Arabidopsis thaliana: one gene and its partners. The protein of the gene in region 1 purifies or fractionates together with the protein of each later gene. This does not show direct contact. Each region holds a gene or a part of one and is shown on either strand. Other genes may lie near its edges.

Region 1 (6,358 bases):
ATTCTCCTCTCAACCGGAATCAGAGTTACTTCAAGCTTTACCTTCTTCGAAGCCAAAATCTCCGCCACTGCAGCTGCCATGGCTCATTGTTGGTTTGGGTAATCCCGGCAAGAAGTACCAGGGCACGCGCCACAACGTATGTCTCTCTCTTGCTTTCTCACTTTGCATTTTCCTTTTCAGCTCGGTAACGTGATCATGAATTGCAGGTTGGTTTTGAGATGGTGGACGCTTTGGCTGATGCAGAAGGCATCTCCATGAACACTGTTAACTTCAAGGCCTTGTTTGGGAAAGGTTCTCTTTTTCATTCTCTTATCTTCTCCATTGTGAATTTTCATTTTGAAATGGTTTTCTTATCTCAAAGTTTGAAACTTTCAAATTTCATACGTCTCAAATGTTTGATGAGGGTGATAGAAACAATGGCTAACTGTTTCCGGAGAATGAATATTGAAATAAATATCATTTTCTGTCTCTGGTTTGTTTCTAACTTTGGGTATTGTTTTCCTTTATCATAGGCGTTATTGGAAATATACCGATTATGCTGGCTAAACCACAAACTTTCATGAACCTAAGTGGTGAGTCTGTAAGTGAGCTCATCGGAAACAAACTTTGGTTTATTTAGTTAACCAATCTCTTTAACTTTTATCACTTGTTATTTTGATTCTTTCTGTTTATGATTGCTGGAATTCTTTGAAGGTTGGACAAATCGTTTCATTTTACAAGATCCCGTTAAAGCAAGTACTTGTGGTATACTTAACCTTCTCTCTCGCTTACTCTCCAAATTCTGGCTCTAGAGTGCATATGCCGTCTTAATTTTTTTTGTCTTTTTCAGGTTTACGATGATTTAGATTTGCCCTTTGGTAAACTACGTTTATTGCCAAAAGGTGGTCACGGAGGCCACAATGGGTACAATGCTTTTCACTCTCTATCTGGCCTGTTGATGTTTTCATTTGTGTTTTAACTTTTAAGTATTGTCTTACTTTTTACTTAAGAAGCAATGTGGATGGATAATAGTTTGCGGTTTCACTATCAAATCATAGAGAAACTCTACAAGAAAACATGATGGGTTGTTCTTTTACTTGCAGGATGAGAAGTATTATAGACCGCCTCAAAGGTAGCCGTGATTTTCCTCGACTAAGAATAGGTACAGTTCTCATTTTTCTCCACTCCGACATATCTTCCCATTTTCTTCTCTGGTTTTGCAAATTGTCGAATGTTTCATTTCAGGGATCGGACGTCCTCCAGGGAAGATGGATACAGCCAATTTTGTTCTCCGCCAGTTCAATAGACAGGAACAGGAAGAGGTAGAAGCAGATTTATCCCATAATTATCTCAAAAAATTTCAGAAAGACATAACCTGATTGTTTTTGGTTTTGCAGTTGGATCACACATTCCAAACCGGGTTAGAGGCAATAAGGATTCTTTTGCTTGAGGGGTTCAACAAAAGTGCAACATTTGTCAACACTCGAAAATCTATGGAGCAACTCAGTTAGAAGTGACATTGTTACATTACATATATTCATATAACAAACTACAAAGTGTTCTTGCTGATTCATTAATAATTTTTTTTTGGTTCCATACTTGAATCCTTTTTGAGCAAATTGTACATCAAAAGATAACCAGATTATTTGTTTATCATAATTTCTATTATGTAACTCGAAAATATGGATTTCAGTATTTGTTCGGCTGTAATTTAAATTATACACTTTCATTAAGCATAGACATTTTATTTGGCAATAAATCAGCTTCGTTTACTGCAAAAAGGGTGGTCACAAAAGTTGGTTCGGTTTAGAAAAATTGTGTTCGGTTCGGTTAGTTTCTTGAATAATTTAAACCCGACGGATTAAATGAGAGGTTTTGTGGTCCCCACAACTCGAACTCAGTAAAACCAAGTCGACCCGATTCAGCTGGATCCGAGATTACAGAGAACCCCGTCCCGTGTTTAAACCCTCCGGCGACAAAGCTCAGATAGAGAACCGCTCCACCCTTGTCGTTCGCTGCAGCCATGTACGGCGGAGGTGGGTTTCTCTTTAAACCCTTGAATTGCTTTGTCGTTTATCTTTTGAGACATTCCTGAGCTGTTTTTTTCCGTGGTGGGTTTTCACAGATGAAGTGTCAGCTATTGTGGTTGACTTGGGTTCGCACACTTGCAAGGCTGGTTACGCCGGTGAAGATGCTCCCAAGGCCGTTTTCCCTTCCGTAAGTCTTAATTACCAGCATTTTATGTCACTATAAGCTTAATGGTGTTATTGTAGATTTGCTCAAGTCCCTTGTATCTTCAGACTCTTAGTTTTTTTTTTGATGTGTTCATAAGGTTATTGGGGCAGTAGATGGTGTAGAGGCAATGGATGTGGATGTTGATTCTACAAAGACTAATTCGAACTCTGAGGATTCGAAGACCGAGTCTGAAAAGGAAAAGAGCAAACGCAAGCTCTATGTAGGATCTCAAGCCATGAGCTACCGCAGAGATCATATGGAGGTTAGTTTTTCTCCTTGATTAATGTTAAAGTTTATAACTTTGTTGGTGAAATTACAGATTGCATTTTCTCTCACCAGGTTTTGTCACCTATAAAAGATGGCATCGTTTCTGACTGGGATTTGGTGGACAATATATGGGAACATGCTTTCAAGTAAATGTGTAAAGCATTATATTTTCTCTTAATTGTTGTTTGCATTTCATCTCTAAAAAAACTTTGTCTTTTAAGGAGTTGTCTGATGATTGATCCTACGGAGCATCCAATGCTGCTAGCTGAGCCTCCTTTAAACACTCAACAGCAGAGAGAGAAGTATGATTTATCTGCTTTGAAATATCCTTTATTACCACTGTTGCTTTATCTTGGTGTGTTACTGATTTTCTCAAATCATATGCTTGACAGGGCGGCAGAGCTAATGTTTGAAAAGTACAAAGTTCCGGCACTGTTTATGGCTAAGAACCCTGTATATTCCCTCTCCCTTGGGTCATCATTCTTTTTGATAGATTATTATATGACGTTCACTGTAATGTTGATATCCAGTCAGCTCTTGTGTAATCAGATGTCTAACTATCTACATGAATTTGGTGTTTTTGGTGCTAGGTTCTCACGTCTTTTGCTACTGGGCGTGCTACTTCTTTGGTTGTTGACTGGTAAGACTTTAAGTATTAAAAGTTTCTCTAGTATGTAGAAGCTACTAATGTTCCACTTCTGCTCTATATGCTGTGAAAGTCTACCTTGTTCTGTATGGTGTATAATTTGAGAAGCACTGATGACACTTTATTGTATTTCTAGCGGTGGAGGATCCACAACCATTTCACCGGTGCATGATGGTTATGTTCTTCAGAAGGTACTTGTATTACACGATTTAGTAAGAATTCAGCTTTGTGATGCTGTTTCTTTGGGTTTGGATTTTGTACTGCAGGAGAAAGTTTCCCATCTCTCGTTTCCATAGTCATCTGTAGCTGCTATAAATTCTCATCCATGTGAATTATGACCTACAGCATTGATGTAGATTGTGATTCTCCGATTGTTGACCATACTTTTATTCGCAGGCTGTTGTATCGTCTCCACTTGGAGGGGAATTTCTCACTGACTGCCTACTGAAAAGCTTGGAGAGTAAAGGAATTAAAGTAGGTTAAAAAAATTCTTCACTGTTCTTTTCTTTTAAGCCAAATTATCTGAGTGATACTGGTTATTTTTTCTGCAGATAAGACCTAGATACTCTTTCAAGAGGAAGGAAGTACGAGCAGGGGAATTCCAGGTGCATATGTGGATCAGTGAATGAAACTACTAGCAGTGAATAGTCTCTAATTTCCTCCCTTTGAATCCTTGCAGGTTGAAGATGTGGATATTCCTGACACCACGGAAAGCTACAAACTCTTCTGCCAGGTCTGTAATTGATTATGAAACTTCGTTTGAAAATTTCAGTTGTGATAATTTGGTGATTTGTTTCAACAGAGGATGATAGTGGGTGATATCAAGGATTCCATTTGTCGAGTTCCTGATACTCCCTATGACGGTACCTTATGTTATTCTGTCTGTCTCTGGTTTCATAAATTTGTTTTATTTCAAAGTTTAAAGTTGCTTGAGAGTTGAACGTTAGATACTTTTTATCTTTCAATGTCATTTGATCGCATAGCCTTAGTTTTTCTGATGTGATGCATTTATCTGCAGATAAATCATATTCAAACATCCCTACTACGTCGTACGAGCTTCCTGATGGCCAGTAAGCTCAGTTTATATGTCTATTTCGGTTTATTTGTGCCTCAAATGTACATGCTACTGTTGCTTTTGTTTTCTACGTATAAGGTTTGAGCTTAGTTTCTAGCCAAATGTACCACTGCTCTGAACCTTGTTTAAGCTGAGATAAGTGCTTAGTTGGATCTGAGTCATTAAAGCCATTGGGCATAAAAGTTTAGAAGAGTCAGACATTGCTTTGGAAACCTGCATGGAACCTAATGTTCATAATGAGAATTAAGTTAAAAGAAAAAGTGCTAGCTTCATTGAAGACAGGAAGCTGCACCTGTAATTTTTGTAGTCTTTCTCAATATCTTATTAACCATGTCTGTTGAAGGACGCTCGAGATTGGTGCTGATAGGTTCAAAGTTCCTGATGTGATGTTCAACCCGTCCATAGTCCAGGTACACCATTTGAGCACGATAAATTCAACAGAAGATTCTGAAGACATTTTGTTTCTTATCTTGAGCGTTTTGAGCCTCGAATTATTTATCAAAGGTTTCTTCTCCGTTTTTATTGCAATTTGCAGACGATTCCTGGAATGGAGAAGTATGCTGAGATGATTCCTTCCGTTCGTGGGTTACCACACATGGTATATGCATGGTATTTAGTCATTGCAAAGCTTCCATCTCTTAACTTTTTCTAACTTTACTCTCCATTTTACTGACTTGTACAGGTCATGGAGAGCATCAACAAATGTGATGTAGACATCCGGAGAGAGTTGTATAGTAGCATACTGGTAAAATAGCAATCAATGCCAACTCTTAAATACCCCTACTTTTAGTTTCGTTGGATGTGGATGATTAACATTTCCTTTCTTCTCGCATTATGCCAGCTTGCTGGTGGCACATCGTCAATGCAACAGCTGAAAGAACGTCTCGAAAAGGACTTGATCGAAGTATTGTGTCCTAAACTCTTTTCCTCTGTCTTTAAAGCTATCCCAGTTTTTATGATGGCGAAAATCATTCATTGGTCCCTCTATCTTTGTTTCAGGAGTCTCCTCACTCAGCTAGAGTTAAAGTGTTGGCAAGCGGTAACACAACAGAAAGAAGATTCAGGTCTGGATTTAGTGTTCACTTCTTCCTCTATAATGAGACCCAAATTTTTTTGCTTGGATCAACCAACAAACATGTTATGTATGTGCAGTGTATGGATAGGAGGGAGTATATTGGCATCACTAGGCTCATTTCAACAGATGTGGTTCTCCAAGTCTGAGTAAGTCTCTGTTCTGATTTTCCATTAATCAGACTCGCAAAGAAACTATAGTTTGTTTTCTCTCCTGACACTCGGATTTGGGGTCTTGGTGTAAATGGCAGGTATGAGGAACATGGAGCTTCCTACATTCAGAGAAAATGCCCTTAAAGCAGGCAGTTTCAGATTATGTGGAGTCTGACAAGACGAAACTTGGAAACTAATGTGTTATTTTCATTGTGCATCGTTGTTCCTTGAAGATTATTAGTATTCCGCCTGAACCTTTTAGAATGAGTGTCATTAACAAGCATTATAGTGCTATTTTAAAAACATAAAAACATGTGGAAGAAGTTTCGTTGCTTTATTAGATTTTCGCACAATCAAGACCGTCCACGTTTTGTTACTACGAACCAAGATAATCCACAAAATTAACAAGAAAATAACAAATCCGAAACTACAAAAAGCAGCTTCATAAGTTTTCTTTTTCTTTTTTAAAAAAGAAGAAAAAATCAGCTTTATCGTGCCTCTCAAAAAGCTAATGACTTCGAAGTTCCAAAATTCCGGTCTTCGAACATATTTTATAGAATAGCAAAATGTTTTGAACCACAAGATTATTAATAATATAAATAATGTAATTGATATTGGTAAGTAATAATACTTTTATTAATCATAAAATGGTCTGAATAATAATAAAGACAAAATGGACGTAACTTCTCCGCCACTACAGACTTACGTGTCATGTCTCCATATCCGCATGCAAAATCCAATAGATGACACATTCTAAATCATCCAATTATATACGCCCACGTGTCAACCTCTGTCTCGTCTCTCTAAATAACGTTTACCGACCTTCTCTTGTGGACGGTAAGAATCGCCGGCGTCCCCTAATATATCGGATTTCAATCCAAAGACACACTCACAATTTAAAAAAAAACGTTTCTTTTCTCTTCGATTCCCGA
Region 2 (6,575 bases), 1.3 Mb from region 1:
TTGAATGTAAAGTTACAAGTACATATCAAGATTGGTTCCTTAGTAAACAATGATCATAACAAATAACTACGCTCATTTGCCAGGGAGCCAAATACTGCATCAGCTTCAGAATTTTCTTAGCTCTTCCAAGGTCAAGTTTCTGGACTTGACGCATCAAGAATGGGTTGTGAAAACGATTCCTCGTAGCTTAGGTAGACACATAGTCATGGCTTCAACGTATCACAGCTAGTTTCATTAACTTCTGCAGACTCATCCAGTTTGTTAATGGGCTGGGAAAACGATTGCAAGAGAGTTTTTTGTGCAGGTAACTCGGCAATGAAAAGCAATGTTTGAGCCCAACCAGCATATTCACCATATTTACTCACAAAGGCTTCTGCAACTCGGCCATGGAGTTTAGGTGTCAGTTTTGCACCAGCAAGGTCTGGCAGTAGATAATTTGTTGCGATCTGATCCATTATCCAAAACAGAACAAAAAAAAAGTTGCCCGAAGTCATCATCACCATTATGTAATTGGATCTCAATTAAGTAAGTACAATACATAGAAACCGATGGACTTTGTTACCTGCCAGACATGTGTGTCAACCGGAATAGCACTATGCTGATCAAGAGAAAACAGAGCTATGCAAGCTGCTACCTTCGGACCAACACCAGGTAATGTACACAGCGCAGCAACTGCCTCTTGGAGTTCGACTTTGCGCAGAGAAAGAAGCCATTCATTACCACCACCTGGCTTTGCTTGCAAAGCATTCACTGTACCTGTTATGTATTTGGCTCTGCTCACCACAAGATAAACCAGAATGAGAGTTTTCAAATGAGATCAGAACCAATCAGAGAAACGGCCACACAATGATTATCTAGCTTAGACCAAACATTAGCTTCAATTCTATGAATGTATAGCCACAGAGTAAATAAAAGTATAAGCTTCAAGCAAAGTTTTAGCCTAAATGTCTAATTCAACATAATGCAACCATTAGAGAGTGATGAAATCACCTGTAACCAAAACCAGCCTTTCTAAACTCTTCCTCAGAAACCCTAGATAATCGATCCAATGATGGGAACTGATGAAACTCAAATCCATCAATGTCACCCAAATGTAACCCTAAAGACGAAACAAAATCCACCATCTTCGTAATCCTCGCAATGTTATTGTTCGATGAGCACAAAAACTGTATCAAGCACTCGAGCGGATCCTGCCTCAACACACGAGCGCCACGGAGATGTCTCGCTAGCTCTCCGAAACGAGGATCTTTTTTCGAGAAATCAGACCATAGCTCAGCTAACGAGATCTCAGCATTGAGAAAATCGAGCAACGCAAGCTCCGCGGATTTAGGGCTTGTGCTACAATGGACGCAGTAGGAAACTGCGTCGTCTCCTGGACGTTGTCTAAGAGAGACTAAGTGAGGCCCAATCGTTCCGCTATACTGAATCGCTCCAGTTTTCTTCCACCGGAATGTTTGACCCGTCGGAAAAGTTAACGGCAACGTCAGCTCCGTGTGGGTTAGTTTTAACGGGAACCATTTAGGTGTTCCTGTTCTGTGTAGCTTCTGTTTGAGAATCGGTGTGACCGGCGGAGACAGTGGTGGTTTGACGGTGGAAGAGATCGACGGCTGAGATGTAGGTCGAGGTCTCTTCATCGCCGTTGCTCGTTAACGGAACCACCACACCAGTATTAATGCGCGACGGTCGACTAATGTATCAATTTAAACCGGTTTAACCAATTTGAACTTTAAGAACCGAACTAAATAATTGATTCGGTTTTTCTCATTCAAAATTGAAAAATAAAACCGAAGTAAAGTTGACTTTAACCGAAGTTAAACCAAAATTTGGATTGGTCAACGAAGCTTGAATTTCGAAATCAGAACCCTCTTGTTTGTCGAGAAGGTTAGGTCGTCGTGGAGAATGAATTAATATATAGAGATTAATGAAGGAAATGGTGAAAGAAATTGCGAGAAAAAGGTTTGGTGTTTAGCTCGAGAGCTGGAAATCAGAACGACTCGGAGGAGAGAAGACAAAGAAAGCAATTCTTTTTACTAAGGGTCTTGCTTCGATTCCACAGAACCCAAAACCTCTATTTCTCTATCTTCATCCACAAAAATGCCAGCTTCTGAAGGTAAATTGCTGTTTCACATCTTTATCTCTCTCAAAATCCAAATTTAAATTGGGATTTGACTTACCCACATAGATCGTAGTGATGGGTATTTCGAGAATTCGTGTGAATTGAATTACACTTTTTACAATTCTGTCGCAGATAGAAGAGGGAAATGGAAAAGGAAGAAGAGAGGGGGGTTATCGGCGGCGAGGAAACCGAAACAAGAGGAGGAAGATATGGAGGAAGAAGACGAAGAGAATAACAACAACAACAACGAAGAAATGGATGACGTTGAAAATGCCGATGAGCTTCAGCAAAACGGCGGCGCAACTCCCGATCCGGGACTTGGTATTGGCGAGGTAGTTGAAGATTCTGGTTCGCGCATCTCTGATTTCCCGGCAGTGGTTAAGCGTGTTGTGATCCGGCCACACGCGTCTGTAATGGCTGTTGTGGCGGCTGAGAGAGCTGGTTTGATAGGGGAGACTAGAGGGCAAGGTTCACTTCCAGCTCTGGAGAACATTTCGTTTGGGCAATTGCAAGCGTTATCTACTGTACCTGCTGATTCTCTTGATCTTGAGAGGAGTGATGGATCGTCTTCGGCTTATGTTATCTCTCCACCACCTATTATGGATGGAGAAGGAGTTGTTAAACGGTTTGGGGATCTGGTTCATGTCTTGCCTATGCATTCAGGTGTGTTTTTTCTTCCTCTTGATACGCGCATTTATGTTAGAGGTTAGGCTTTATGCAGCATCAGCTTTTGCTGGTTGGTAGTATTGTAGTATATATCTTGTGATTGGAATGAGAATTAGTCAAAACAGGTTTGTATGCCGGTATCTCCTTAACGTATAAGTTCTTATCTTCCTTTTGTCTAGTGCCTGGTTCTTAGTTTACATTAATCTGAACGCGACTCAATTTCATATCAGATGTTTCTCTATGTTCCCATGTTCTGTCTGATGGAAAGGAAGAGGTATTATAACTTTTGTACATGATAAATTAGAGTACCTGCTGGCTTGAAGTAGCCTTAGGTGTCTTATCTCAGAAGTACAACTTGAATAGACTATGCAAGTGATGTTCTTCTAATTCGTTTGGGTTTTGTTCCTGGAGTCCTATGGCTCAAATATATCGAGATTCTCCTCTTATTTTATTTTTATTTTCTGATATTTTTGTTCCCAATGCTCGAATTTATTCTTCTACTTTTGCTGTTACATTTGAGCAGATTGGTTTGCACCAAACACAGTAGATCGACTTGAAAGGCAAGTGGTGCCACAGTTTTTCTCTGGGAAATCGCCAAATCATACACCCGAAAGTTATATGGAATTCAGGAACGCCATTGTTTCCAAATATGTAGAGAACCCTGAAAAGACACTGACGATTTCTGATTGCCAAGGATTGGTAGATGGTGTTGACATTGAAGATTTTGCACGAGTTTTCCGTTTTCTTGATCACTGGGGAATAATCAATTACTGTGCCACTGCCCAGTCACATCCTGGCCCTTTGAGAGATGTATCGGATGTGAGGGAGGACACAAATGGCGAGGTCAATGTGCCGTCTGCTGCTTTAACATCTATTGATAGTTTGATCAAATTTGACAAGCCCAACTGTAGACACAAGGGGGGTGAAGTCTATTCATCCTTGCCAAGTTTGGATGGTGACAGCCCTGACTTGGACATCAGAATTCGTGAACACCTATGTGATAGTCATTGCAACCATTGTTCTCGACCGCTTCCAACTGTGTACTTCCAATCGCAAAAGAAGGTTCTTAGGCTGCTTCCCCTTACGTACTGTTCTTTGTGTATCATTATCTGATTCTTTTTTGCACCCAGTGATGTAATAGACTCCAAGCTTTATCTTGCTTACTGTCTCGGATACTGGACCGCTTCTAACTAAAGGATCTTCATCTCTACTTTACAGGGGGATATACTCTTATGCTGTGATTGTTTTCACCATGGAAGATTTGTTGTTGGACATTCTTGTCTTGACTTTGTAAGAGTGGATCCAATGAAATTTTATGGCGATCAAGATGGAGACAATTGGACTGATCAGGAAACTCTCTTGCTTCTTGAAGCTGTGGAACTCTACAATGAAAATTGGGTTCAAATTGCTGATCATGTTGGTTCCAAGTCAAAAGCTCAATGCATTCTTCATTTTCTTCGATTACCTGTGGAGGATGGTCTATTAGATAATGTTGAGGTTTCTGGTGTAACTAATACGGAAAACCCTACAAATGGATATGACCACAAAGGAACAGATTCAAATGGGGATTTACCTGGTGATTTTGTTTTATTCAATTTGTAGCAATGAATTACTTTCCATAGTTATTTCCTTTGACATGCCATACTAATTGTCCGCTTGCGTCTGCAGGATATTCCGAGCAAGGTTCTGACACTGAGATCAAGCTTCCATTTGTGAAGTCTCCGAATCCGGTTATGGCATTGGTTTGTGAACTTTTTTCCGATGCAGATTTCATATGCGCTTCTTATTATCCTTATGATCTCACCAGTTAGAGATATCTCTGATCCATGAATCGATTATATCTGAGAGCTCAATTGTATGCATATTTTGAGTGGAGAATGGTCCTGTATTGCACATAAGTTTGGAGATATGAGGATCCTGATACCAAAATATTTTAGGTTGCATTTTTGGCATCAGCTGTTGGACCTCGAGTTGCTGCGTCCTGTGCCCATGAATCCCTCTCGGTTTTATCTGAGGACGATAGGTTAGTGTATTATATAGTCTCTATCCAATATAAATTCTCTGTAGTGTGATTCAGTTTAATAATACTATGGACTATTCTGAAACTTCTTGATCTAGGATGAAATCTGAGGGAATGCAAGGGAAAGAAGCCAGCTTGCTTGATGGAGAAAATCAACAGCAAGATGGTAAGGAAGTTATTTGATTGTTCTCTTTACAGTGATTCTTTGCTCTTTTGTTTTAACCTAATCTGCGACACCAACATGCTTTAATTGTAAAAAAAACTCAGGAGCACACAAAACATCAAGCCAAAACGGAGCAGAAGCGCAGACTCCACTGCCACAGGATAAGGTTATGGCAGCATTTAGAGCCGGTCTATCAGCTGCAGCAACAAAAGCAAAATTGTTTGCTGATCATGAGGAACGCGAAATCCAGAGACTTTCTGCTAATATCGTTAATCACCAGGTAAAATAGCAGAACCAGTTGCTGATGAGAATTACTGTAGGTAGTTGATTTATTTTGTTGTATAGTGTTTATTGCTGATCTGAGTAAAAACCGCAGCTGAAGAGGATGGAGCTGAAATTAAAGCAGTTCGCAGAAATTGAAACACTGTTGATGAAAGAATGCGAACAAGTAGAGAAAACCCGTCAGAGATTTTCTGCAGAACGGGCTCGTATGCTCTCAGCAAGATTTGGATCTCCTGGAGGAATCTCTCCACAGACTAATAATCTCCAAGGCATGTCTCTATCCACAGGTGGTAACAACATCAATTCTCTCATGCATCAGCAACATCAGCAACAACAAGCTTCCGCAACTTCTCAACCAAGCATAATCCCAGGATTCAGCAACAACCCGCAAGTTCAAGCACAGATGCATTTCATGGCACGACAACAACAACAACAACAACAACAACAACAACAACAACAGCAAGCTTTCTCGTTTGGCCCGAGATTACCTCTCAATGCAATACAGACCAATGCAGGATCAACAGCTTCACCAAACGTCATGTTTGGCAACAACCAACTAAATAACCCTGCAGCAGCTGGAGCAGCATCGATCAACCAGCCTTCGTTTAGTCACCCGATGGTTAGGTCTTCCACAGGTTCAGGCTCAGGGTCCGGCTTAGGCTTAAACTAAGATCCATCTTTCTCTAGCTTATTTAGCTTATCAGTATCCATATTTATTTCACCTTGTTATTTTTAAAGATAAGTTATTTGGCTTTGAGACCGTAGTCTTGTTCCAAGTTAGTGTCTTGTAGTATCAAACCATCATCATCATCATTGTGAATTAAAACAGTCACCAATCTTAATGTCTCTCTTTCCCACAACCATTTCTCTACTCTTCAAACATTAGGGGTCTTTTAACTCGATTCATTTTGACGATAATATATAGACAATTTCATTACAAATCTACATGTAACATATTCGTTCTTGTCGCAATGAAAAACTCAAAATCATTTTTATTTGATTAATCTCTAAGATGTTTTTTTTTTTTTAAGCCTAACCATTTAACCAAGGCGGGAACGAGCTATCATTAACATGGTTTTTTTCTCATAAGAGCTTAAATCCGAATCAGTCCGTTTTAGCGGCGAACCACGGCGAGAAGAGAAGGACGATTTCGGCGAACTCCACCTCGAAGATACCGGCGATCCCTGGCTAGAATCTTCTTCCGACGGAGAAAGCGTTGTTCCCGATTCATAGAAATTGTCAGACTCCGATGTTGTTGATGATGGTTCCTGCTGACCGGTCTTTTTTAAATCGCCGCTCTTACTCTTTTTCAACCCAAATAATGACTT
Region 3 (3,985 bases), on another chromosome or scaffold:
AGTTTTTGCTTGTAACGCCCAAGATTTTCGAAACCTACAATCTAGGATCTAAATAGTGTACCTCCAGTTATAAATTATATTTGTCGCTCTAGATAAGTTAGAGTAATGGCCAAATCTCGATAACAATTTATTTGTGATCTCCTCACATGAATTTCTTTGGAACCAAATTAATCCCAAACGATAGGATTCAATAATCAGTTAAAGTTTTGTAGTATTCGATAGTGGGTTAGAGTAATGTAGTGATGCAAACAAGAGTGCTAATCTATTGGGTCTATACATTGGATCAAATTTAATATATGGGCCGAACTATCATACCAAGCGTCATGCTTTGAAGAAAGTAGTTGAACCAAGCCATTATACCCTTTTAACTACTAACTAACCCATCTCAAATATCCAGATTTAAATTGGTGTCCATATTATATGAAATAAGTTAAGACTGATTTGCCAACAAGGCAACAACACCTTAATAAATTTAAACATCTAACTGAAAGAAATGTATTTAATCATCCAACTAGGTACATTTAAGAATAGATCACATTCATAATTTTGTTATTATCATTTACAACAGTCATCATGGATTTGTCTTCTCTTTGATCCTGTCTTAGTGTCTTGAAATCTTTGAGCATTTCTTCTTCTTCGTCTCTTATAATATATTTAAAAGGTTATATATTTACATATATACAACTTTGATTTCGATACTCTTGAGAATCCAATAATGAAAGCGAAAGTCATAGAGAAAGAGAACTGCTTCGTATGGTTGGTTAAGGCTCCTTTTCGTCTGTTGATCATGGCACGTGACGCCTACATACGAAGCATTACGTCATGCTCCGGCGCCGGAATTTATTCCGGTGGTGGATCATCTGGTTTTGGTCAACTCTCCGGAAACTTCCAAATCTGCGATCCGCCTAGCACCGCCCTTCCTCGAAGCTTTACCTTGACGTCGGCGGCACATGATCAAGGCTGTCTGACACGTGGCGGACAACCTACGATTGCAATGAGACAATCATTGTCCTTGGATCATCGGAAGAACAATAGATGCGTTGTTGTGATGGGAAGAATAGATGAGGAGATGTCTTGTGATGATGATGATGAGTTTCAAGAAGAAGACTCTTTTCTTGATTATGGTAATTGCGAGATTCTTACAAAAGAAATAGAAAAACCATCTGTTGACCAAAAACATAAGCCTCTAGGACGATTTTGATTTTGATTTTTAGGTTTATTATTAGGTTGTTGCATTGTGCTTATTGAGAAATATGGATCAAACACTTGAAAAGAAAAATCATTTTGTATCATTTAATATTATTTCTTGTATTACTTATAATTGATGTTAAAAAAAATTACATACGATTCTAAAAGTGGTGATGCAAATAATTCACATTGTTTTGTTAACAACCAATGCAGTTCTACATGATTTTAATATCATGAGTAATTTCTAAAAACAAATTACAACAAAAATTAATTTCTTTTAACCACAATAACTTCACAAAATTACAAACATAAAATACAAATTCAAAACCACAAGCACAAAAAATAATAATTTAGAAAGTTTATCAATTACTATTTTTGCTGTAAGAAAAAAAGTTTCTCAATTTTATTTTTGTCTGCAATATCTTTACAGATTCCAAAACAAAACAAAAAAACTATCTTTTTATTTATATATATATATATATATATATATATATAAATGTAAACTTCCTCATAAGTAAATTAACAAGAATATATATCAAACAAAATCTTGTAATTTTTTAATATAAATAAAGCTAAACCTTTACGAAGAAGAAAGACTCTGGTGATTGATTCTCCAAAGTCTAAACCTAGTAAAAGCCAAGTCTCATTCCTCGGGTGAACTCAACAACCGACGATGGCAGAACTAAGGTTATCAGAAACTCGAGACTTAACTAGGATCGAAAGAATCGGAGCACACTCACACATACGAGGTTTAGGTCTCGACTCAGTACTCGAGCCACGAGCCGTATCCGAAGGAATGGTTGGTCAAATCAAAGCACGTAAAGCCGCCGGAGTAACCCTCGAGTTGATCAGAGACGGCAAAATCTCGGGTCGGGCTATACTTATAGCGGGTCAACCCGGAACGGGTAAAATCGCAATAGCAATGGGTATAGCAAAATCACTTGGACAAGAAACACCATTCACTATGATTGCAGGAAGTGAGATCTTTTCTTTAGAGATGTCAAAGACTGAAGCTTTAACTCAAGCTTTTCGTAAAGCTATTGGTGTTAGGATCAAAGAAGAGACTGACGTGATAGAAGGAGAAGTTGTGACGATTTCGATTGATAGACCTGCTTCTTCTGGTGGTTCTGTGAAGAAGACTGGGAAGATAACAATGAAGACGACTGATATGGAATCTAATTTTGATTTGGGATGGAAATTGATTGAGCCATTGGATAAGGAGAAAGTACAGAGTGGTGATGTTATTGTTTTGGATAGGTTTTGTGGGAAGATTACTAAGCTTGGAAGATCTTTTACGAGGTCTAGAGATTTTGATGTTATGGGTTCAAAGACTAAGTTTGTGCAGTGCCCTGAAGGTGAGCTTGAGAAGAGGAAGGAGGTTTTGCATTCTGTCACACTTCATGAGATTGATGTTATTAATAGCAGGTTTGTTTCTTGATCTTGTTCTGTATTTGTCAATTGCTTAGTTTTAGGTTTAGGTTAAAAAGATTGCTTCTTTTTCACGTATTGATGCTTTTTCAAGTTCTTATTTGGATTCTTGTTTTCTTTCTGTTGTTTGCAGGACTCAAGGGTATCTAGCCCTCTTCACAGGTGATACAGGCGAGATTCGTTCAGAAACCCGAGAGCAAAGCGATACTAAAGTGGCAGAGTGGAGAGAAGAAGGGAAAGCTGAAATAGTACCTGGTGTTCTCTTCATTGATGAAGTCCATATGCTTGATATCGAATGCTTCTCTTTCCTGAATAGAGCTCTCGAAAACGATATGTCACCAATCCTGGTCGTGGCTACAAACAGAGGAATGACAACAATCCGAGGAACAAACCAGATATCAGCACATGGGATCCCAATCGATTTTCTTGACCGTCTTCTTATTATCACAACACAGCCTTACACACAAGACGAGATCAGAAATATTTTAGAGATCCGTTGCCAAGAAGAGGATGTGGAGATGAACGAGGAAGCGAAACAGCTTCTGACTTTGATCGGATGTAATACCTCGCTTAGGTACGCGATTCATCTAATCAATGCAGCTGCCCTAGCTTGCCTGAAACGTAAAGGGAAAGTCGTAGAGATTCAGGACATTGAGAGAGTTTATAGATTGTTTTTAGACACCAAGAGATCGATGCAGTACTTGGTTGAGCATGAGAGCGAGTACTTGTTTAGCGTGCCTATAAAAAACACACAGGAGGCTACTGCAGGAGAAGAAACAGAACACGAGGCCATGGAAGTTTGAGAATTTTGTTTTATTGCTTTTTCAAGAACTTATTTTTTCACCCCATTTTGTCATGGACTCATGGGACATGGTTGAACAAAAGATGGAATTTTTCAAGTTTTCGAGTTCTCATTGAGAGATAGACAACGTTTTGTACTGTGTTTTTGACGGAGCGATAAGATGGTATGACAAAAAGGTAAGATTGTGGAGACGTTTGAAGGGTTAATTGGTAAGGCTACCTAAGTTCTCACCTAATGTTTGTATTCAATTGGCTGATTATGGTGGAAAGATGGCGGTTTTGTGGGTCGAACAATCTCCTTGTAGTAACAACGGCTATAAGAATAAGATTTGGTGCGCGGAGATTGCTCTTGAAAAACAAGAAAGTTGTGAAATTTGGGGAGAAGTTGAGTGGTTTGGTCATGTGCTTACAGTTCCTTCAACATGTTTTGTTGCCAAGGTTATTGCTGCTACTGTTTGATGATGAATGAATGTGTCACAAAGCTTAAATATGTTTTTTTTTGGTGTATGCAGATATGATGATGACATGGCTTAATTTTGTCTCTTTTATTTATGTGACTGCTTTTACT
Region 4 (4,974 bases), on another chromosome or scaffold:
ACATGGGTTTCGATTTCCTCTCGGTGGTAACACCATCATTGCTTATCTGCTTTGGATTTAGCTTTTGATAGATTTGGTAGTTGATATAGCTTATGAATCCATCTAGAAATTTGCGTAGAGAGCAATGTCACAAATGTTCTGTGGTTACTTTATCAATCTAATCACGCCACGATTTGGTTTTAGGCCCCGAAGAAAGGAGTGAAGGTAGCTGCTAAGAAGAAGACCGCGGTATGTTTCATTTCCAATTCTCTTCTTCTTTTTTAGGTTTTCGAACATTCAATTTGTTCTTTGTTGTTGTTTTTTTCTTTCTTGCTGAAGTTTTGTGTTTTGATTTCTGATTTCTCCAGGAGAAAGTTTCAAACCCTCTATTCGAGAGGAGGCCTAAGCAATTCGGTATTGGTGGAGCTTTACCTCCTAAGAAGGATCTCTCTCGCTACATCAAATGGCCCAAATCCATCCGTCTTCAAAGGCAAAAGAGGATCCTGAAGCAGAGGTTGAAGGTCCCTCCAGCTCTTAACCAATTCACCAAGACTCTTGACAAGAATCTTGGTATGTCTATTTCATTCTCAATCTACTCTTCAAACATTTACTACTTGCTGCTGTTAATTTATTATTGAAATATTTACCAGTTCTGGTAAATCTTGTGTTGCTGTAACCTTATAAGAAGACTTCGGTGCCTTATTTATATTCGTTATTGATAATTGCAGCTACCAGCCTCTTCAAGGTCCTTCTGAAGTACAGGCCAGAAGACAAAGCTGCCAAGAAGGAGCGTCTTGTAAAGAAGGCCCAAGCTGAAGCTGAGGGAAAGCCTTCTGAGTCTAAGAAGCCCATTGTAGTCAAATACGGCCTCAACCATGTGACCTACCTCATTGAGCAGAACAAGGCCCAACTTGTTGTTATTGCTCATGATGTCGACCCAATTGAGTTGGTTGTCTGGTTGCCTGCTCTGTGCAGGAAGATGGAAGTCCCGTACTGCATTGTCAAGGGCAAATCTCGTCTTGGAGCGGTATGTGTTGTGGGTGATTTCTCTCTAGTTTATAGCCACTAGCATGGAGAGTTAATCTTTATTTCTTTCTCTGACTTTCAGGTTGTTCACCAGAAGACTGCTTCTTGCTTGTGTTTGACCACTGTCAAGAACGAGGACAAGCTAGAGTTCAGCAAAATCCTGGAAGCTATCAAGGTAAATACTTCTTGTGACCAATAGAATGGTAGATTGTGTGAAACATATTGTTGGAGATTCTTATGATTGTGTTTTTGGGTTTTTGTCTATAGGCCAACTTCAATGACAAGTACGAGGAGTACAGGAAGAAATGGGGAGGAGGCATAATGGGATCTAAGTCTCAGGCAAAGACCAAGGCAAAGGAAAGAGTTATTGCAAAGGAGGCTGCCCAAAGGATGAATTAAGAGGCTAGCTTCTTTTGTTTGTGGTTTGCTCGGATTCGTAAAACTTAATAGAGCTTTTTGTTTAGCTGGTTCTTGAAGTACCTCTTTTTTAGTTGAACCCTTTATTATGGATGTTTTGCAATTTCTTGGGACAGTTTCAATGTTATTCAAGCTGCTGGATCCTCTTTGGTCTCTCAACCACTTAAAACTTGACAGTGTGAAATTTTAGCCAAATGCTTATTGCATTCTGGAAAGAGTTATAAGTTTAATTCTCAAATTCTTTTACAGTTCATCTCATAATGATGTGCGTAATTTTTGGTCTTTATGGTTCGATGTTGGAGCAACCATATCCCTAACAACTAGAGTTATATAAGTTCATTAAAATTTGTAGCTGAAGACCAAAAAGTTAATAGTAATAAGTGGGCTTGACGAAATAAAGTTAACAACAAGTGGGCTGATAACTAGATAACAAAGTGGGCTGATAAAATAAAGATTGGGCCCAGATTTTAAATTGAGTTTTATTATAATTGACCCAGCTTCGGGCAAGTTTTCGCTTTTGACCCTTAACTAATTATTCTCCGTGTGGTTTGGATTTGGCGATTGGCAATAGATTCATCAGAGGTTTTTGATATTGGAGGGAATCGGTAACGGGCATGGAAGCCACTGATCCAAGCGCAGAGATCGAGCTCTACACCATTCCTGCTCAATCCAGTATGTCTTCTCTTACCCTCGCCATGCTTTTAGATCTCTAGGGTTTCTTCTTCTACTCTTTTTACTCGCTCAACTGTTTCCGTCTCTTAGGTTTCTGCTTTCTATGGTTTGTTTTCTTTGCAATTGATTTGGGGATTTGTCTTGTTCTTTACAAGGTTGGTTCTTATGGGATGATATACACGAAATTGAAAGACGCGAGTTTGCGGAGTTCTTCACTGAGAGCTCAATCACTAGAACCCCCAAAGTTTACAAGGAGTACCGAGATTTCATTATCAATAAGTTTAGAGAGGACACTTGTCGGAGACTCACCTTCACCAGTGTCCGCAAGTTTCTTGTTGGCGATGTCAATTTGCTCCAGAAAGTTTTTCTCTTCCTCGAAAAATGGGGATTGATCAATTTTAGCTCTTCCCTGAAGAAAAATGACCATCTATTGTCCGTGGATAATGCTAAAATAGAACAAGGGACTCCTGCTGGAATTCGAGTTACTGCAACCCCTAATTCTCTTAGGCCTATAACCGCACCGCCCCTTGTTGAGGAAAGAGTTGAGACTGGCATCAAAGTACCACCGCTTACCTCTTATTCAGATGTTTTCAGTGATTTGAAGAAGCCGGATCATGTATTGGTTTGTGCGCATTGTGGAGAACGTTGCGATTCTCCTTTCTATCAACATAACAAGGTAGTTTTTTTTTGCTTTTTTTCGATTAGCATATTTCATACTCTCTAGTCTGTTTTGTTTATGCTTCTTTTTTTTTTGACATATGATGTTGGCAGGGTATAGTCAACATATGCGAAAAGTGTTTCAAGAATGGAAACTATGGGGAGAACAACACTGCAGATGATTTTAAGTTGATTGGGAATTCAGCTGCAGCTGTGTGGACAGAGGAAGAGATCCTCCTCTTGCTAGAATCTGTGCTGAAACATGGAGATGATTGGGAACTCATTTCACAAAGTGTTTCTACCAAGAGTAGACTAGATTGCATTTCTAAACTCATTGAGCTCCCGTTTGGAGAGTTTCTGATGGGTTCTGCTTCTGGAAGACTCAATCCCTCTATCCTCACCGAGGATGAAAACACGGAACAGGTGCAAACTGATGGGCAGGAACATGAGGAAACAGAGACAAGGGAAGAAAAAGAAGATCGCGTGAATGAAGATGAGCCTCCAGCAAAAAGGAAACGTGTTGCACTGATATCAGAGGGTGATAGTTCACTTATGAAACAGGTGAATGTTTGGTTAAACTATATGCCTTGTGTTCATTATTTTCCATATGAGTGTAACATTCGGGTTCTTCTCTGACCTTTAACCGTCGCAAAGAATGCCCTTTTTAACTCCACTGGAAAAGAATGTTCAAGAGATAACATGTTTACATATTGCACAACAGGTCGCTGCCATGGCAAGTAAAGTTGGTCCATCTGTCGCAACTGCTGCTGCAAAAGCTGCACTTGCAGCTCTTTGTGATGAAGCCTCATGTCCAAAAGAGATTTTTGACACTGATGACTACAGCAATTTCACAGTTGATAGGTTCGATTCTCTAAGCCCTCAATTTGCTTGTGGTTTGGCTTCTCATGTCCTACACTAATCTCAAGATACAAAACTTTGCTCACAGAGCCAATGGAGAGAAAGATACAGATATGGAGGAACAGCAAGAAGAGAAAGGTAAATTGTGTTGTGATTCAATCTGCATTCCTAGGTTTATAATGAAAGCTCAAGGCTTAAGATTTGGAATCGTTATATATTTGCAGACGGGCCTCAGGGTCTACCTGTAGCGTTAAGGATAAGAGCGTCTGTGGCAACAGCTCTAGGAGCTGCGGCTGCACAAGCGAAAATACTGGCTGATCAAGAAGAAAGAGAAATGGAACAGTTAGCTGCGACAGTAATAGAACAACAGGTTGGTTGTAACTTGTAACAACATTAAAACATTTGTGTCTGTTCCACTGTGTTTGTGTCTTGAACCGGACATGTTTTGCTTCTCTTTGTTGTACTCAGCTGAAGAAACTGCAGAGCAAGTTGAAGTTTCTAGACGACTTGGAATCGATAATGGATGAAGAAGAGAAAGTGATAGAGGGTGTAAAGGAAACAATCATCCAAGAGAGGGTTAGCGTTTTGCAATGCGCGTTTAGAAGCGGTATTACCAAACGTTGGGATCATACGTACGTGAAATGATCTTCTTCTTTCATTCGTACTTTTTTTTTCTCTTGGGGTAGAGTTGTTTTCTCATTCCTTATGGATTTGTTATGTTGACTTTTGAGGATTATATGTATTTAGTATTAATGTGTTTTATTGACTTAATGAGGAGAGTAGGTTTAGGTTACATACCTCTTTTGTCGATATGTCTGACCAATGGATGGGTCTCTCTACTAATTCACACGCGCCCAGTGTGACGTCAAATAAATAAAATTCCGAAAACATTTTCTGAGCTTTCCATAATTTGGAAAAAAGTGAATTGAAAAAAAGAACAGTGACACTCTTGTTTCTATAAATTGGTGAGACCGTCCTCAAAACCCCTTCGTCACCTTCAGTGTCTCTCTCTCAAGATCTAGCTCCGGTCATGAAGTCGTCGGAATTCCAATACCACGAGGTTCTCTCTCTCTCTCCCTCTCTCTGCTTAGAGATTTTAGATGTAGTAGTAATAGTTTAACAGGAGAGTGAAGATGTCAAGAGGTGTTGAGATGATTGATTAGATCTTTGAATAAACAAATATGTGTATGAATTGGTGACAGGAATACGTGAGAAATTCAAGAGGTGTAGAGTTGTTCGCATGTAGATGGATCCCATCTTCTTCGTCTTCTCCCAAAGCTCTGGTTTTCCTCTGCCATGGTTGCAGTTATTTCCTTATTATTTCTAAAAGCCGCTTTCTTCATTACACATAATAAAACTGAACAA

Evidence for each region.
Region 2: the proteins of ARP4 (region 1) and SWI3C purify together in Arabidopsis thaliana (affinity purification with mass spectrometry; 2 studies listed by BioGRID, with this or other methods). This does not show direct contact.
Region 3: the proteins of ARP4 (region 1) and AT3G49830 purify together in Arabidopsis thaliana (affinity purification with mass spectrometry; 2 studies listed by BioGRID, with this or other methods). This does not show direct contact.
Region 4: the proteins of ARP4 (region 1) and SWI3A purify together in Arabidopsis thaliana (affinity purification with mass spectrometry; 2 studies listed by BioGRID, with this or other methods). This does not show direct contact.

Annotation. Positions count from the first base shown.
Region 1 is NC_003070.9:6,346,197-6,352,554, forward strand, and holds ARP4 (actin-related protein 4), read left to right. Parts: upstream 1-1,851; 5' UTR 1,852-2,002; coding exon 2,003-2,015; intron 2,016-2,104; coding exon 2,105-2,196; intron 2,197-2,311; coding exon 2,312-2,476; intron 2,477-2,553; coding exon 2,554-2,627; intron 2,628-2,702; coding exon 2,703-2,783; intron 2,784-2,873; coding exon 2,874-2,934; intron 2,935-3,071; coding exon 3,072-3,121; intron 3,122-3,263; coding exon 3,264-3,318; intron 3,319-3,523; coding exon 3,524-3,601; intron 3,602-3,678; coding exon 3,679-3,732; intron 3,733-3,806; coding exon 3,807-3,860; intron 3,861-3,929; coding exon 3,930-3,990; intron 3,991-4,145; coding exon 4,146-4,197; intron 4,198-4,545; coding exon 4,546-4,612; intron 4,613-4,737; coding exon 4,738-4,800; intron 4,801-4,884; coding exon 4,885-4,947; intron 4,948-5,043; coding exon 5,044-5,106; intron 5,107-5,201; coding exon 5,202-5,266; intron 5,267-5,354; coding exon 5,355-5,423; intron 5,424-5,524; and 3 more. Other genes in the region: AT1G18440 (Peptidyl-tRNA hydrolase family protein), read left to right, coding at 1-136, 207-291, 513-580, 694-744, 830-903, 1,083-1,141, 1,225-1,301, 1,377-1,490. UniProt on the Arabidopsis thaliana protein: Involved in several developmental processes including organization of plant organs, flowering time, anther development, flower senescence and fertility, probably by regulating the chromatin structure.
Region 2 is NC_003070.9:7,619,498-7,626,072, reverse strand, and holds SWI3C (SWITCH/sucrose nonfermenting 3C), read left to right. Parts: upstream 1-1,906; 5' UTR 1,907-2,094; coding exon 2,095-2,110; intron 2,111-2,248; coding exon 2,249-2,779; intron 2,780-3,305; coding exon 3,306-3,844; intron 3,845-4,000; coding exon 4,001-4,358; intron 4,359-4,450; coding exon 4,451-4,524; intron 4,525-4,719; coding exon 4,720-4,805; intron 4,806-4,900; coding exon 4,901-4,968; intron 4,969-5,069; coding exon 5,070-5,245; intron 5,246-5,341; coding exon 5,342-5,917; 3' UTR 5,918-6,072; downstream 6,073-6,575. Other genes in the region: OGG1 (8-oxoguanine-DNA glycosylase 1), read right to left, coding at 204-446, 563-773, 991-1,634; AT1G21695 (hydroxyproline-rich glycoprotein family protein), read right to left, coding at 6,288-6,575. UniProt on the Arabidopsis thaliana protein: Component of a multiprotein complex equivalent of the SWI/SNF complex, an ATP-dependent chromatin-remodeling complex, which is required for the positive and negative regulation of gene expression of a large number of genes.
Region 3 is NC_003074.8:18,480,522-18,484,506, forward strand, and holds AT3G49830 (P-loop containing nucleoside triphosphate hydrolases superfamily protein), read left to right. Parts: upstream 1-1,727; 5' UTR 1,728-1,861; coding exon 1,862-2,613; intron 2,614-2,749; coding exon 2,750-3,419; 3' UTR 3,420-3,459; downstream 3,460-3,985. Other genes in the region: AT3G49820 (uncharacterized protein), read left to right, coding at 716-1,201.
Region 4 is NC_003071.7:19,529,998-19,534,971, forward strand, and holds SWI3A (SWITCH/sucrose nonfermenting 3A), read left to right. Parts: upstream 1-1,949; 5' UTR 1,950-2,036; coding exon 2,037-2,094; intron 2,095-2,249; coding exon 2,250-2,770; intron 2,771-2,865; coding exon 2,866-3,312; intron 3,313-3,472; coding exon 3,473-3,612; coding exon of another isoform or gene 3,613-3,670; exon of another isoform or gene 3,671-3,697; coding exon 3,698-3,747; intron 3,748-3,833; coding exon 3,834-3,979; intron 3,980-4,077; coding exon 4,078-4,254; 3' UTR 4,255-4,474; downstream 4,475-4,974. Other genes in the region: AT2G47610 (Ribosomal protein L7Ae/L30e/S12e/Gadd45 family protein), read left to right, coding at 184-228, 348-549, 708-1,006, 1,088-1,180, 1,273-1,404; AT2G47630 (alpha/beta-Hydrolases superfamily protein), read left to right, coding at 4,640-4,669, 4,812-4,908. UniProt on the Arabidopsis thaliana protein: Component of a multiprotein complex equivalent of the SWI/SNF complex, an ATP-dependent chromatin-remodeling complex, which is required for the positive and negative regulation of gene expression of a large number of genes.